Lonchura striata: one gene and its partners. The main gene of each other region encodes a partner of the protein of the gene in region 2 in a complex. Links are inferred from orthologs where the notes say so. Each region holds a gene or a part of one and is shown on either strand. Other genes may lie near its edges.

Region 1 (3,745 bases), on a different chromosome or scaffold from region 2:
CGTCTCTACATTAACAAATTTTCTTGCAACCTGATCTTGCCATGGTTGCAAACACAGAGGGTTCCCTCTGACTCCCAATGGCTTGGCAGTGCTCAGTTATTTTAGCTCATTCCCCTGACCCTCATTTCCTGTTGCTCATCCCTTCAAGAACATAACATCCTCCTCAGCCTTTATGGTGACAACACACTCCTGGTCCCCCTCCCTGCCTACCCAGGTAGTACTTGGAAAGGTGCTACCAAGAACACACATTACAGTGGAACAGTGTGACAAGCTGGGACCAAAGATGGAGTGAAATCTCATCTTTGCGTAGTCTCCTTTGAGTCACTCATTAATTAGCTGTCTAAATACCTTACTAGATACAGCATTTGATACTTTCAACATCAGTAGACTGGTGTTAGTCATGATTATTTTCTTTACTGAACAGAAGTTAGAAAAAACTGTATCTCCACAGCAGTCCTGGAGTCCTGGGGAAGCTTAGGGGTGATGGGTACATCTGCCTCTGCGTTTCAGTTATGGCCAGGCTGTTTGTTCACCTCAAGTGCCTCCAGCAGCCCTAGCCCCGATGCTGCTGCTTGACCCGCCTTGGCAGAGAGCTCAATCCCACCCGGGGCTGAGGGGCTGCTCCGCAAGGATGCTGAGCATCAGCCACAGCCAACAAGAACTACGGGTGCCTTCACACCCTGTAAATAGGATTCCTGACTCCCAGTGAGTCCTCTGAGAGCCGTGACCATGCCAAGATGTCAGGACTGAGCTCCCAGTGTTTAACACACCCAGTCTTTGTGGAATTAGCTCCAACTACTAGATTTGCTGGCTGTCAGGCAGCTTGTACTTTGTCACCAGGGAAAAACTGTTCAACTTTGCTAGAGTAGGTCTATGAACCAAGTGCATTAAGAGTACATATTTTACCACAGAGTAGAGATGCCACACTAAACACTTCGGTTACCATGGGAAACCTTTCTCTCTTTGCCACTGGCATTGCACAGGGAAGCCCAAGCCCAAATGCTCGATCTCGCCTCTGAAATCAAACAGATGTTTTCACAATCTTTGATGGAGCTGAGCTGTGCACTCGTCCCAAAGGAAGGTAAAAATGCAGCGTTAAAGCAGCCCTTTTCCCCTCTCTTTTTTCCCAAGCATGATATATTTTTAGTGAAAAGGGAAACAGGCGACTGTGTCTCGCGCTAACATTTACGGCCACTCAGTAACAAATTGTGACAACAGCAAACTTCTGCCACGAACTCGGGGAGCCAAGGCTGCCTGTGTGCCGTCCCTGGCAGGGCTGTGCGCCGCGGGACGGGACATAGAGCTGGCGATGCCCACAGACATCCGGGCGCGCAGGGCACCCACGAGAAGTGGGGCACCGGCAACCAGGTTAGGAGAACGATGCTGTCCCCGAGCAGGGGAGAGGGTCTCCGGGGAGGGCAGCGGGGTATGAGGCTCAGCCGCCCGCCCGGGGGACGCGGGGGATGCGCTCCAGCTCGGGAGAGGTGGAGGCAGCAGCGGCCGCGGGACGGGACACGAGATGCGGCCGCTGTCCACCGCCGGCTACCGGCTCCCCGCGCCCCCTCGCCCCGGCAGGTGTCCGCCGCCCGCCGTACCTGTATATTTCTTTTCTCGCAGGCCGGGCCGGTGCCCTGCACCACGCTGTCCAGCACGGTAACCATGCCGGCGGCCGGGCTGACGAAGCAGGAGTTGCGGGCGGCCCGGATCGTCTCCTCGATCTCGGCGAAGCGGAAGACGCAGAGCGCGGACTGCGGCCGGCCCCGGCCGCCGCCGGCTCCGGCCCGCTCGAAGACGCCGAAGAGCAGCTCCTCGGGGGGCGGCGGGGCCAGGGCCGGGCCGTGAGGGGCAGCGGGGCTGCGCCAAGCCGCCCGCGCCGGGAAGACGGAGACGAGGCGGGTGAAGGCGTCGGCGGCGCCGCCGCAGCGCAGCCCCAGCTGGATGTAGGACTCGGTCAGCTTCTTGGTCTCGCCGCTGCCGTTGAGGGTGGCCTCGGCTGGCTCGCCCAGGCAGATGCGGGCCAGCAGGCTGTGCGCCGGGCTCTCCTTGTCGCCCGCGTTAGCCTCAGTGTTGAGCGCCAGGTAGGCGTACGGGCGGCGGGCGGGCGGCGCGGCCCCGTGCTGCAAGAAGGCGCGGACGAAGCTGAGCTTGTGCCGCGCCTTGTCGCCCTGCTTGATCTTGAGGATGTTGTCGTCGGAGGGGTTGATGTCGAAGGTGAAAAGCTTGGCCAGGTCGCCGCGGGCGTTGAGGGCACGGATAGCGATCTCGGGCGTGTTCTCGAAGCGGTGGTCCTCCAGGCTGCGGTTGCGGGGGAAGAAGGGGCTGCCGAAGCCGGTGTAGGTGGCGGCCACCAGCAGCCGCGCCCCGCCGCCACCGCCGCGGCGCAGCACCAGCCCCACGGTGGAGGCGTTGGGGTGGTTGGCCGCGACGTTCAGCATGCTAGGGAAGACAGCGACCGAGTCGCTCCCGCCCGGCGGGAAGCGCACGGCCACTGCCGAGATGTTTGCCATGCTGCGCAGCTGGCAGAGGCCCTGGTAGATGGAGCCGCAGACGACAAGGACGCCCTGCTCCGGGTCCGGCTGCAGGATCTTGTTGTAGTTGTTGGTGAGCACCCTGGGGTGCTCACAGGAGGCCTGCGGCAGCTGCGGTGCGTGGCACAGCGGGCTGTCCAGCACCGGCCCCACCGCCGCCTCCGCCTCCAGTGCCAGCTCGCCCCCCGACAGCTGGAACAGCCGGTTGACGGCCGCCAGGTAAACGCGGGAGCCGGGGCCGTCCAGCGCAAAGTTGTTGGTGAGGGTGGGCGAGAGGAACTTGCGCTGCACCTCCAGGCCGGCGGCTCGGCCGGGCAGGAGCAGCGGCAGCAGCGGCAGCAGCAGCGGCAGCAGCGCGGGGGGCCGCGGCTCGGCGCCTGCCGCCGGAGCCGGGAGCGGAGCCGGAGCCATCCCGCCGCCGCGCCGCACAGTGCATGTGCCCGTCGCCGGGCGCGGGAGGGGCGGGCGCGGGGCCGCTTCCTGCGGAGGCAGCGCCCGCCGCCGAGCGACGCCCGCGGGAAGTGGCGGCCGCGGCGGGGGGCGGCGGGGGGCGGCGGGGCGCGCGGCCGCGCCCCTTCCCTGCCCCCGCCCTCCGCCCGCCCCCGCGCCCGCCCCCGCGCCGGTACTCACCGCGTCCCGGTGCCGCGGGCCCGTCATGTGCGTGCGGTGAAGTTACCGGTGTCTCCCGCGCCGCCGGCTGGGCGGCACCGAGCGGCTCAGAGGGGCTTCGGACAGGGCGTCCCCCCGCCGCCTGAGGGGCTGCTCCGGGCTGTCCCCCTTCTCTGCTCTGCCTCCTTCGCGTTTTCGACCAGGACAGGCCGGGGGGGAAGGGGCGGGGGAAGAAGCACTTTTCCCAGCTGCGGAGCAGCGCGGCGAGCCGGAACAGCCCCTCCCGGAGCCCCCTCGCACCCCCCGCAGCCCACACATCCCCCCGCAATACCCGCTCTCTCGCTCCCCGGGGACCGGGCGGGGGACGAGGCCCCACCCCTGCAACGGCTCTGCCCGCACCACTCGTCAAAAGTACAGCTCGGACTGCGCGTCTCCTCTGCCCTCCAACGGGCGCCTCTTTAACAAAAAAAGACCCAAAGAAGTGATTTCCCAAATTATACACACTGGGATGATGTAGGGGACAGCCCTTGAACCACAGCCCCATCCCGTGGCATCGCTCCACCTGAGCGGGTTCACTCCTGCTGCCTTCCTCCCCGTCTGCGGGAATG
Region 2 (3,745 bases):
CAGGTGTGTCTCCAGGTGTGTCTCACCTATCTCAGGTGTGTCTCACCTGTCCCAGGTGTGTCTCACCTTGATGAAGGCGTAGCCGGCGCCGTTGTCGGTGATGGTCAGCCCCAGCTGTGCCCAGGTGTGCCCAGGTGTGTCTCACCTATCTCAGGTGTGTCTCACCTATCTCAGCTGTGTCCCAGGTGTGTCTCACCTATCTCAGGTGTGTCTCACCTGTCTCAGCTGTGTCTCACCTATCTCAGGTGTGTCTCACCTGTCCAGGTGTGTCTCCAGGTGTGTCTCACCTGTCCCAGGTGTGTCTCACCTTGATGAAGGCGTAGCCGGCGCCGTTGTCGGTGATGGTCAGCCCCAGCGCCTCCTCGTCCTTCAGCACCTGCACGTCCTTCTGGCGGCCGCGCGTGTGCGCGAAGATGAAATCCTCCAGCCCGATCTGCCCGCCCAGCAGCTTCTCCATGTCCACCTGCGGCGTGTTCAGCGTGCAGAACAACACCTGGGACAGGTGAGCACACCTGGGGGTCACCCGAGTGTCACCTGGGACAGGTACACACCTGGATGTCACCTGGGGACATTGGGGACATTGGGACATTGGTGTGTTCAGCGTGCAGAACAGCACCTGGACAGGTGAGCACCTGGGATGTCACCTGGGGTGTCACCTGGGCAGGGACACACCTGAGTATCACCTGAGATGTCACCTGGGGCAGGGACACACCTGAGTATCACCTGAGATGTCACCTGGGGCAGGGACACACCTGGATGTCACCTGGGGACATTGGGGACATTGGGGACATTGGTGTGTTCAGCGTGCAGAACAGCACCTGGGACAGGTGAGCACACCTGGTGTCACCTGGTGTCACCTGAGTGTCACCTGGGGTGTCACCTGGGCAGGGACACACCTGGGGACATTGGGGACATTGGCGTGTTCAGCATGCAGAACAACACCTGGACAGGTGAGCACACCTGGGGGTCACCTGAGTGTCACCTGGGACAGGTACACCCCCGGGTGTCACCTGGGGACACTGGGGACAATCCCCCAGCCCGATCTGCCCGCCCAGCAGCTTCTCCATGTCCACCTGCGGTGTGTTCAGCGTGCAGAACAGCACCTGGACAGGTGAGCACACCTGGGAGTCACCTGGTGTCACCTGAGTGTCACCTGGGACAGGTACACCCCTGGGTGTCACCTGGGGACACTGGGGACATTGGGACATTGGTGTGTTCAGCGTGCAGAACAGCACCTGGACAGGTGAGCACACCTGGTGGTCACCTGGGTTGTCACCTGGTGTCACCTGGGCAGGGACACCCCTGGGATGTCACCTGGGTGTCATCTGAGTGTCACCTGGGACAGGTACACCCCTGGGTGTCACCTGGGGATATTGGGGACATTGGTGTGTTCAGCGTGCAGAACAGCACCTGGACAGGTGAGCACACCTGGTGTCACCTGAGTGTCACCCGGGTGTCACCTGAGATGTCACCTGGGGCAGGGACACACCTGGGTGTCACCTGAGTGTCACCTGGGTGTCACATGGGGTGTTACCCGGGGTGTCACCTGGGGCAGGGACACACCTGGGTGTCACCTGGAGACATTGGGGACATTGGGGACATTGGGGACATTGGTGTGTTCAGCGTGCAGAACAGCACCTGGGACAGGTGAGCACCTGGGGTGTCACCTGGTCAGGGACACACCTGGGGTGTCACCTCAGTGTCACCTGGGGTCTCACCTGGCGACAGGACAGCACCAGGGGACACTGGGACATGGGGACACTGGGGTGGTCAGCGTGTCATCCCAGTCCCTCCCAGTCCCTCCCAGTCCATCCCAGTCACTCCCAGTCCCATCCCAGTCCATCCCAGTCCATCCCAGTCCCTCCCAATCCCATCCCAGTCCATCCCAGTCTATCCCAATCCCATCCCAGTCCATCCCAGTCCATCCCAGTCCATCCCAATCCCATCCCAGTCCATCCCAGTCTATCCCAATCCCATCCCAGTCCATCCCAATCCCATTCCCAGTCCATCCCAGTCCCTCCCAGTGCTCCCAGTTCACCTCGCTGGGCGGGATGCCGAAGGCCTCGCCGATCTTGCCGTACAGCTCGCGCACGTTGCCGAATCCCATCCCAATCCCATCCCAGTCCCTCCCAGTCCATCCCAGTCCATCCCAATCCCATCCCAGTCTATCCCAGTCCATCCCAATCCCATCCCAGTCCATCCCAATCCCATCCCAGTCCCTCCCAGTGCTCCCAGTTCACCTCGCTGGGCGGGATGCCGAAGGCCTCGCCGATCTTGCCGTACAGCTCGCGCACGTTGCCGAATCCCTCGACGCGGCCGGTGGCGCTGCCGTGCGCCAGCTGCGTGTGGAACACCAGGCGGGGCCGCAGGCCGGGGGCGGGGGCCGCGCCCCCCGGGACCCCCCCCGGGGCCCCCCCGGGCTCCCCCGGGGTCCCCCCGCGCCCCCCGGACCCCTCCTCGTTCTCCACCAGCGGCGGCGGCTTCTTGCGGCGGCCCAGGCCCAGCGGCATGGGGGGCCGGGGGGGCTCGGAGGGGGTTTGGGGGGGCTTTGGGGGGTCTAGGAGGGGTTTTGGGGGGCTTTGGGGGGTCTTTGAGGGGTTTGGGGGGGCTTTGGGGTGTCTAGGAGGGGTTTTGGGGGGCTTTGGGGGGTCTTTGAGGGGGCTGGAGGGGCCTTTGAGGGGGTTTGGGGGGGCTTTGGGGTGTCTAGGAGGGGTTTTGGGGGGCTTTGAGGGGTCTTTGAGGTGTTTTGGGGGCCTTTGAGGGGTCTTTGATGGGTTTTAGGGGGTCTGGGGGTGTCCAGAAGTGGTTTTGGGGGGCTTTGGGGGGTCTTTGAGGGGGCTGGAGGGGTCTAGGAGGGGTTTTGGGGGGTCTAGGAGGGGTTTTGGGGGTCTAGGAGGGGTTTTGGGGGTCTAGGAGGGGCTTTGAGGGGTTTTGGGGGGCTTTGGGGTGTCTAGGAGGGGGTTTTGGGGGGCTTTGGGGGGTCTTTGAGGGGTTTTAGGGGGTCTGGGGGTGTCTAGAAGCGGTTTTGGGGGGCTTTGGGGGGTCTGAGCGGAGTTTTGGGGTCTTTGAGGGGTCTAGGAGGGCTTCTGGGGGGGTCTCAGCGGAGTTTTGGGGGGGCTTTGAGGGGTTTTGGGGGGATCGGTGGGGGTCTCAGCGGAGTTTTTGGGTTTTGGGGGGATCGGTGGGGGTCTCAGCGGAGTTTTTGGGTTTTGGGGGGATCGGTGGGGGTCTCAGCGGAGTTTTTGGGTTTTGGGGGGATCGGTGGGGGTCTCAGCGGAGTTTTTGGGTTTTGGGGGGATCAGTGGGGGTCTCAGCGGAGTTTTTGGGTTTTGGGGGGATCGGTGGGGGTCTCAGCGGAGTTTTGGGGGGTTTTGGGGGGATCGGTGGGGGTCTCAGCAGAGTTTTGGGGGGTTTTGGGGGGATCAGTGGGGGTCTCAGCGGAGTTTTTGGGTTTTGGGGGGATCAGTGGGGGTCTCAGCGGAGTTTTGGGGGGTTTTGGGGGGGTCTGGTGAGGTTTCGGGGGTTCTGAGAGGGGTTTTGGGGGGGTCCCAATGAATTTTGGGGGGGTCTGGGGGTTCTAGGAAGGGTTTTGGGGGGGTCCGGTGGAGCTTTGAGAGGTCCGGGGGGGTTTGGGGGGGTCCCGGTGTCCCCGGGGTGTTTTTGGGGGGTCCCGGTGTCCCCGGGGTGTTTTTTTGGGGGGTCCCGGTGTCCCCGGGGTGGTTTTTGGGGGGTCCCGGTGTCCCCG
Region 3 (3,745 bases), on a different chromosome or scaffold from region 2:
TCCCTTTGGTTCAGCTGTTCTCAAAAACTCACTTCAGTTGAACAATTTTCCTAAGAGCAGTCCTACTGGGTCAGACAGCAGATCTGTTGTCTGCACTATGTTAATGCCTGAAATTAATATATAAATTTGATAAATAATTGAAAGTACTTTCCCAACCTATTATCCCAGCTCTGTGCTCAGCTTGGTGACACCCTGAGCTACTTCAGGTACTCCACACAAGTTAGCCTTAGTGGGTTTTTCTTCCATTAATTTGTCCGGCTGCTTTTAAAGTCCCTGTAAACTTTCAATATCCACATGCTTCAGAAAGGATTTCCAAAGCTTAACTAACCACACATTGGGTCAAAACCAAAAACACACCACTTTTGTTCATTTTGAACCTGCCAGCTTAATCATATGCTTTCACATTTTGTTCTGATAAAAAGTTAGTCCATACTCAACTTTGCCACATCACTCATAAGACTGTCAAAATTTCTAATACCTGAAATCTTTCCTCAGACCAGTGTTATCAAATACCACAAAAATGCAAAGGTTAGATTGGGTCACAAAGCCACTTCCACCCTGGTGGACCAGGCACAAGGAAGCACTATTTCACCTTCCTTATGAGAACATTATTGTTAATGGGTCAAAATACTGACCTATTATCAAAACAAAAGCACATGGCAATGCCGGAGGCTGAAAGACACAGTACTTAGTGCAGATTATAGAGGAATCTGACTAGAAATAATGGGGGTGGGGAAATTAGTTCAACTTAGAATTTCTGCCAATACTGACATGGTTTTCATTCAGAAAGCTATTCAGCCTCGCAGGAAAGTTTACTGCCTTTATATTTGCATTGCTGGCTTTATAGTTGTATAGTCAAAGGCATAACTGTGCCTTCACTAAATAGTTTATTAACTGAGACACATTAAAAACCCATCCACTAAAAATACAGTCAAGCAAAATCTTAATTTCTATGTTATTAAAAGCAACAACACAAAAGTTTGGGACTTGTGCTCTGATAATTCTGATAGTTACTCTCCCATCTTAACAACACTGAGATCTTTCTTTTGCAATTATTTTATAAACCATACATTTAAGAGTTAACTTGTGTGTTAGCAGTTTTATTATATTTAAACAAATACTGCAAGACATTTGCCTATACTTTTAAATTTTCATAATTAACATTTAAAAAATTAAAATATTTCTATTTTTATTAGGCGCTTTTTTTTTTTTCCGCTAAAAAATAAAGTTAAAAAAACGCAGATGACATTTAACTCGCGAGTTCATCTCCACCCTGTTAATTTGTCACACTTGTAAAAGAAGGAAGACTCAGTCCCGCAGCCAACCTTTGTACTCGGATGGCTGTGAACCCAGTCCATAGGCCGCCCCGCAGCCCGGCGATGCCAACTGAACTGTGAGGAATTAGGTCGCCTCAAAGGTCTGTTCCCTCCGGGAGCACCACAGGGCACAAGTCCCGACGTACTACTTCTCTGCACCTTTGTAAAAACAGGGCTGGCAGTCAGCAGTATTCGCTGAAACAACAGATGACAACCATCCTTTTACAGAAGCAGCCAGCTATTAGTTCAGCTACCTCCATCCTACAGGCCTTGGTGGCATTTACTAGTTCAAAACTAGTAAATTGGAGCCAAGTATCGGGCAAGCACCAACAGTACATTTGCTGCACTGCAGGTCGTATTCTAGACCATTAAGGAGACCGTTTCAAGCTTTCCTATTCAGAAACGGATGCAAGACAGAGGAACGGGGTATTGGATTTTAGTTGTACATCACGGTGACACACGCTGCTCTCCAAACCGCAGCCTGCAAAAAGTACTTCAAGCAGAAATACTCCAGAAGACGTTTTTCCACTGAAAAGACGTTTTTCCACTGAACTACCAGTCGTACTGTGTCTGGTCAGTAAAGGCTATAAAAATTTTATTTTCACTTACAAGGACGATCCCACCAGCACAGAAGTGTTTCTGAAGCAAGGAGGGGAGCCCAGCAGGGATGGAATTTCACAGAGGATGATACTAAAAAAACCCAAACAAACCCACAAAGGAAAGAATTTCCATGACAGCTAATTTAAGGAAGTAACGCGCACTCCGGAGGGATTCTGAGCTGCGGTTCCACAGGTCGGTCCCGAGGTGCGCTGGCCGGAGCGCTCCCCGCCGAGGGCCCGGCCCGCACCTGCCCGGGCGAGAGGGGCGGCGGGGGCAGCCGCGGCGGGCCGGGGGCCGGCGCCTCCCGCCGCGGGTAGGAGGGGCGGCGGAGGCGGAGAGGCCGCGTCCTTACCTGCTGCTGGAGGTGCTGCTGCTGCGCTCGGCGCCCCGCTCGCTGCCGACCCTGCCGCCGCCGCCGCCGCGCCGCTCTGCGCCGCCCCCGCCGCCCGGCACGGCCCGGCCCGGCCCGGCACGTCACCGCCACAGGGCCGGCCGGGGGCGGGGGCAGCGCCGGCGGGGCGGCGGCTCGGAGGCCGGCCCGGCCTTCTCTCCGCTCGGGCTGCCCGGCGGGAGCCCCGGCCCCGCGCCGAGCCCGCAGCCCGCGCCCTCCGCGCACGGTGGTGCTGAGGGGCTGGCCACGGCTACTTTGTGAGCTGGGCCTCTTCCATTATTTTTTACCGACGCGGTTGCATAAGGGGTCATTCCTGACCGTCGCCCCATCAAGAAAGGTGCCGAGCAGGTGGCGGCTCTCCTGCTGCACAAAGCTTGGAAGTCAGACTGTGTCAGCCCGGTCCCTCTCCCAGGCTCGCCCCGGCCCCGTGCCGTCCCTGCCGTGTCCCCAGGGTCCCGCCTGGGCGGAGGTTCCAGGGCTGGGAGCAGCGATGGTGGCACCGCTGCTGCGTGGCAGAACAGCGTGGCCTGCCAGCCCCGTGCCCCCTGCACTCCTGCAGGGCAGCCGGGGCAGCCTCGGCTCCGCGGGATTGCCCCGGCGTGTGCCTCACCCAGCCATCCATCCCTGCGGCTGCTGCGGCTCGGGGACAGCGGCCCGGCATTGCATCGTTGCATCATGCTCGGCCGGGGCGTCACACCGCTGGGGCTACCCACAGCCACCCCTCCCGAGCCGCAGCTCTGCGTCACCTCCCTGTCCCTTGGCTTTACCGCGATTCATTCCTGGCGTCGCCAGCTGGTTTGTCAGCTTTCCCGTAGCACCGTGCTTCTCTCGCCACAATGGTTCATGAGCAGCACAATGACCCCGACTGTACGTGCAAAGCCTCCTCGCTCTCCACCCGATGGTTCGTTCATACGTCTTTTGCTGACAAAGTGAAACAAACCAGTTAATACTTCAAAATCTTGTGTTTTCGTTGATTTTGCAGCCCCAGCTACCTTTCTTTAAGCAAGGTGTGTTTCACTGCATCCTTTTTGAGTGTTTGGACAACACCAGGGACGTTGTGGGTACAGCCACTAGCTAATAAATAATTTACATAGATTTCTTCAAGCCATAGCTGCCCATGTAGACATGATTGTCGTAACAACGCCTTAGCCTCTTTCAGAGGACAAAGAGAAATCCCAGGGGCTTCTTTAGGGGCAACCTAGAGAAACTCAGGGGGTTCTGTCAAGGATCAGAGTGGATGTACACATGGAAGGAAAATGGCAGTACATTAGATGCATGAGTAATCCTGCATCCTGTGTGGAGTACGGGTGGAGTTCAATCCTGCGTCCAGATTAACATTCCTACAACTCCTGAAATGTGCTGTGAACTTGTTTTGGTCTTTAAAACATTCCACATGACTGTCAAGTATTAAGGTAAATTTGATGGTTGCATCTTCACT

The links.
Region 1: the proteins of GIPC1 (region 2) and PLXND1 are in contact, whole or in part, in a crystal structure (PDB 5V6T), measured with the Mus musculus proteins. The link is inferred for Lonchura striata from reciprocal best matches to the Homo sapiens genes GIPC1 and PLXND1. Residues at the interface, in NP_061241.1 of Mus musculus: His61, Glu141, Ala142, Leu143, Gly144, Leu145, Thr146, Ile147, Thr148, Asp149, Asn150, Gly151, Phe156, Lys158, Arg159, Arg190, His191, Tyr192, Glu193, Ala195, Arg196, Leu198, Lys199; in NP_080652.2 of Mus musculus: Glu1400, Met1889, Glu1893, Arg1899, Gln1902, Gln1904, His1905, Glu1908, Ile1918, Tyr1919, Cys1921, Tyr1922, Ser1923, Glu1924, Ala1925.
Region 3: the proteins of GIPC1 (region 2) and MYO6 are in contact, whole or in part, in a crystal structure (PDB 5V6E), measured with the Mus musculus proteins. The link is inferred for Lonchura striata from reciprocal best matches to the Homo sapiens genes GIPC1 and MYO6. Residues at the interface, in NP_061241.1 of Mus musculus: Glu273, Ser274, Tyr275, Met276, Gly277, Ile278, Arg279, Asp280, Glu282, Leu283, Thr286, Asp310, Phe311, Ala312, Pro314, Glu316; in NP_001034635.2 of Mus musculus: Ser1055, Lys1056, Trp1057, Lys1058, Tyr1059, Ala1060, Arg1084, Arg1085, Leu1086, Val1088, Tyr1089, Trp1092, Lys1093, Asn1096.

What each region holds. Positions count from the first base shown.
Region 1 is NC_134614.1:23,986,465-23,990,209, forward strand, and holds the start of PLXND1 (plexin-D1), read right to left. Parts: upstream 2,940-3,745; coding exon 1,596-2,939; intron 1-1,595. UniProt on the Homo sapiens protein: Cell surface receptor for SEMA4A and for class 3 semaphorins, such as SEMA3A, SEMA3C and SEMA3E. Plays an important role in cell-cell signaling, and in regulating the migration of a wide spectrum of cell types.
Region 2 is NC_134623.1:2,226,141-2,229,885, forward strand, and holds the start of GIPC1 (PDZ domain-containing protein GIPC1), read right to left. Parts: upstream 2,511-3,745; coding exon 2,241-2,510; intron 494-2,240; coding exon 308-493; intron 1-307. UniProt on the Homo sapiens protein: May be involved in G protein-linked signaling.
Region 3 is NC_134605.1:82,986,011-82,989,755, forward strand, and holds the start of MYO6 (unconventional myosin-VI), read right to left. Parts: upstream 2,358-3,745; 5' UTR 2,269-2,357; intron 1-2,268. UniProt on the Homo sapiens protein: Myosins are actin-based motor molecules with ATPase activity. Unconventional myosins serve in intracellular movements. Myosin 6 is a reverse-direction motor protein that moves towards the minus-end of actin filaments.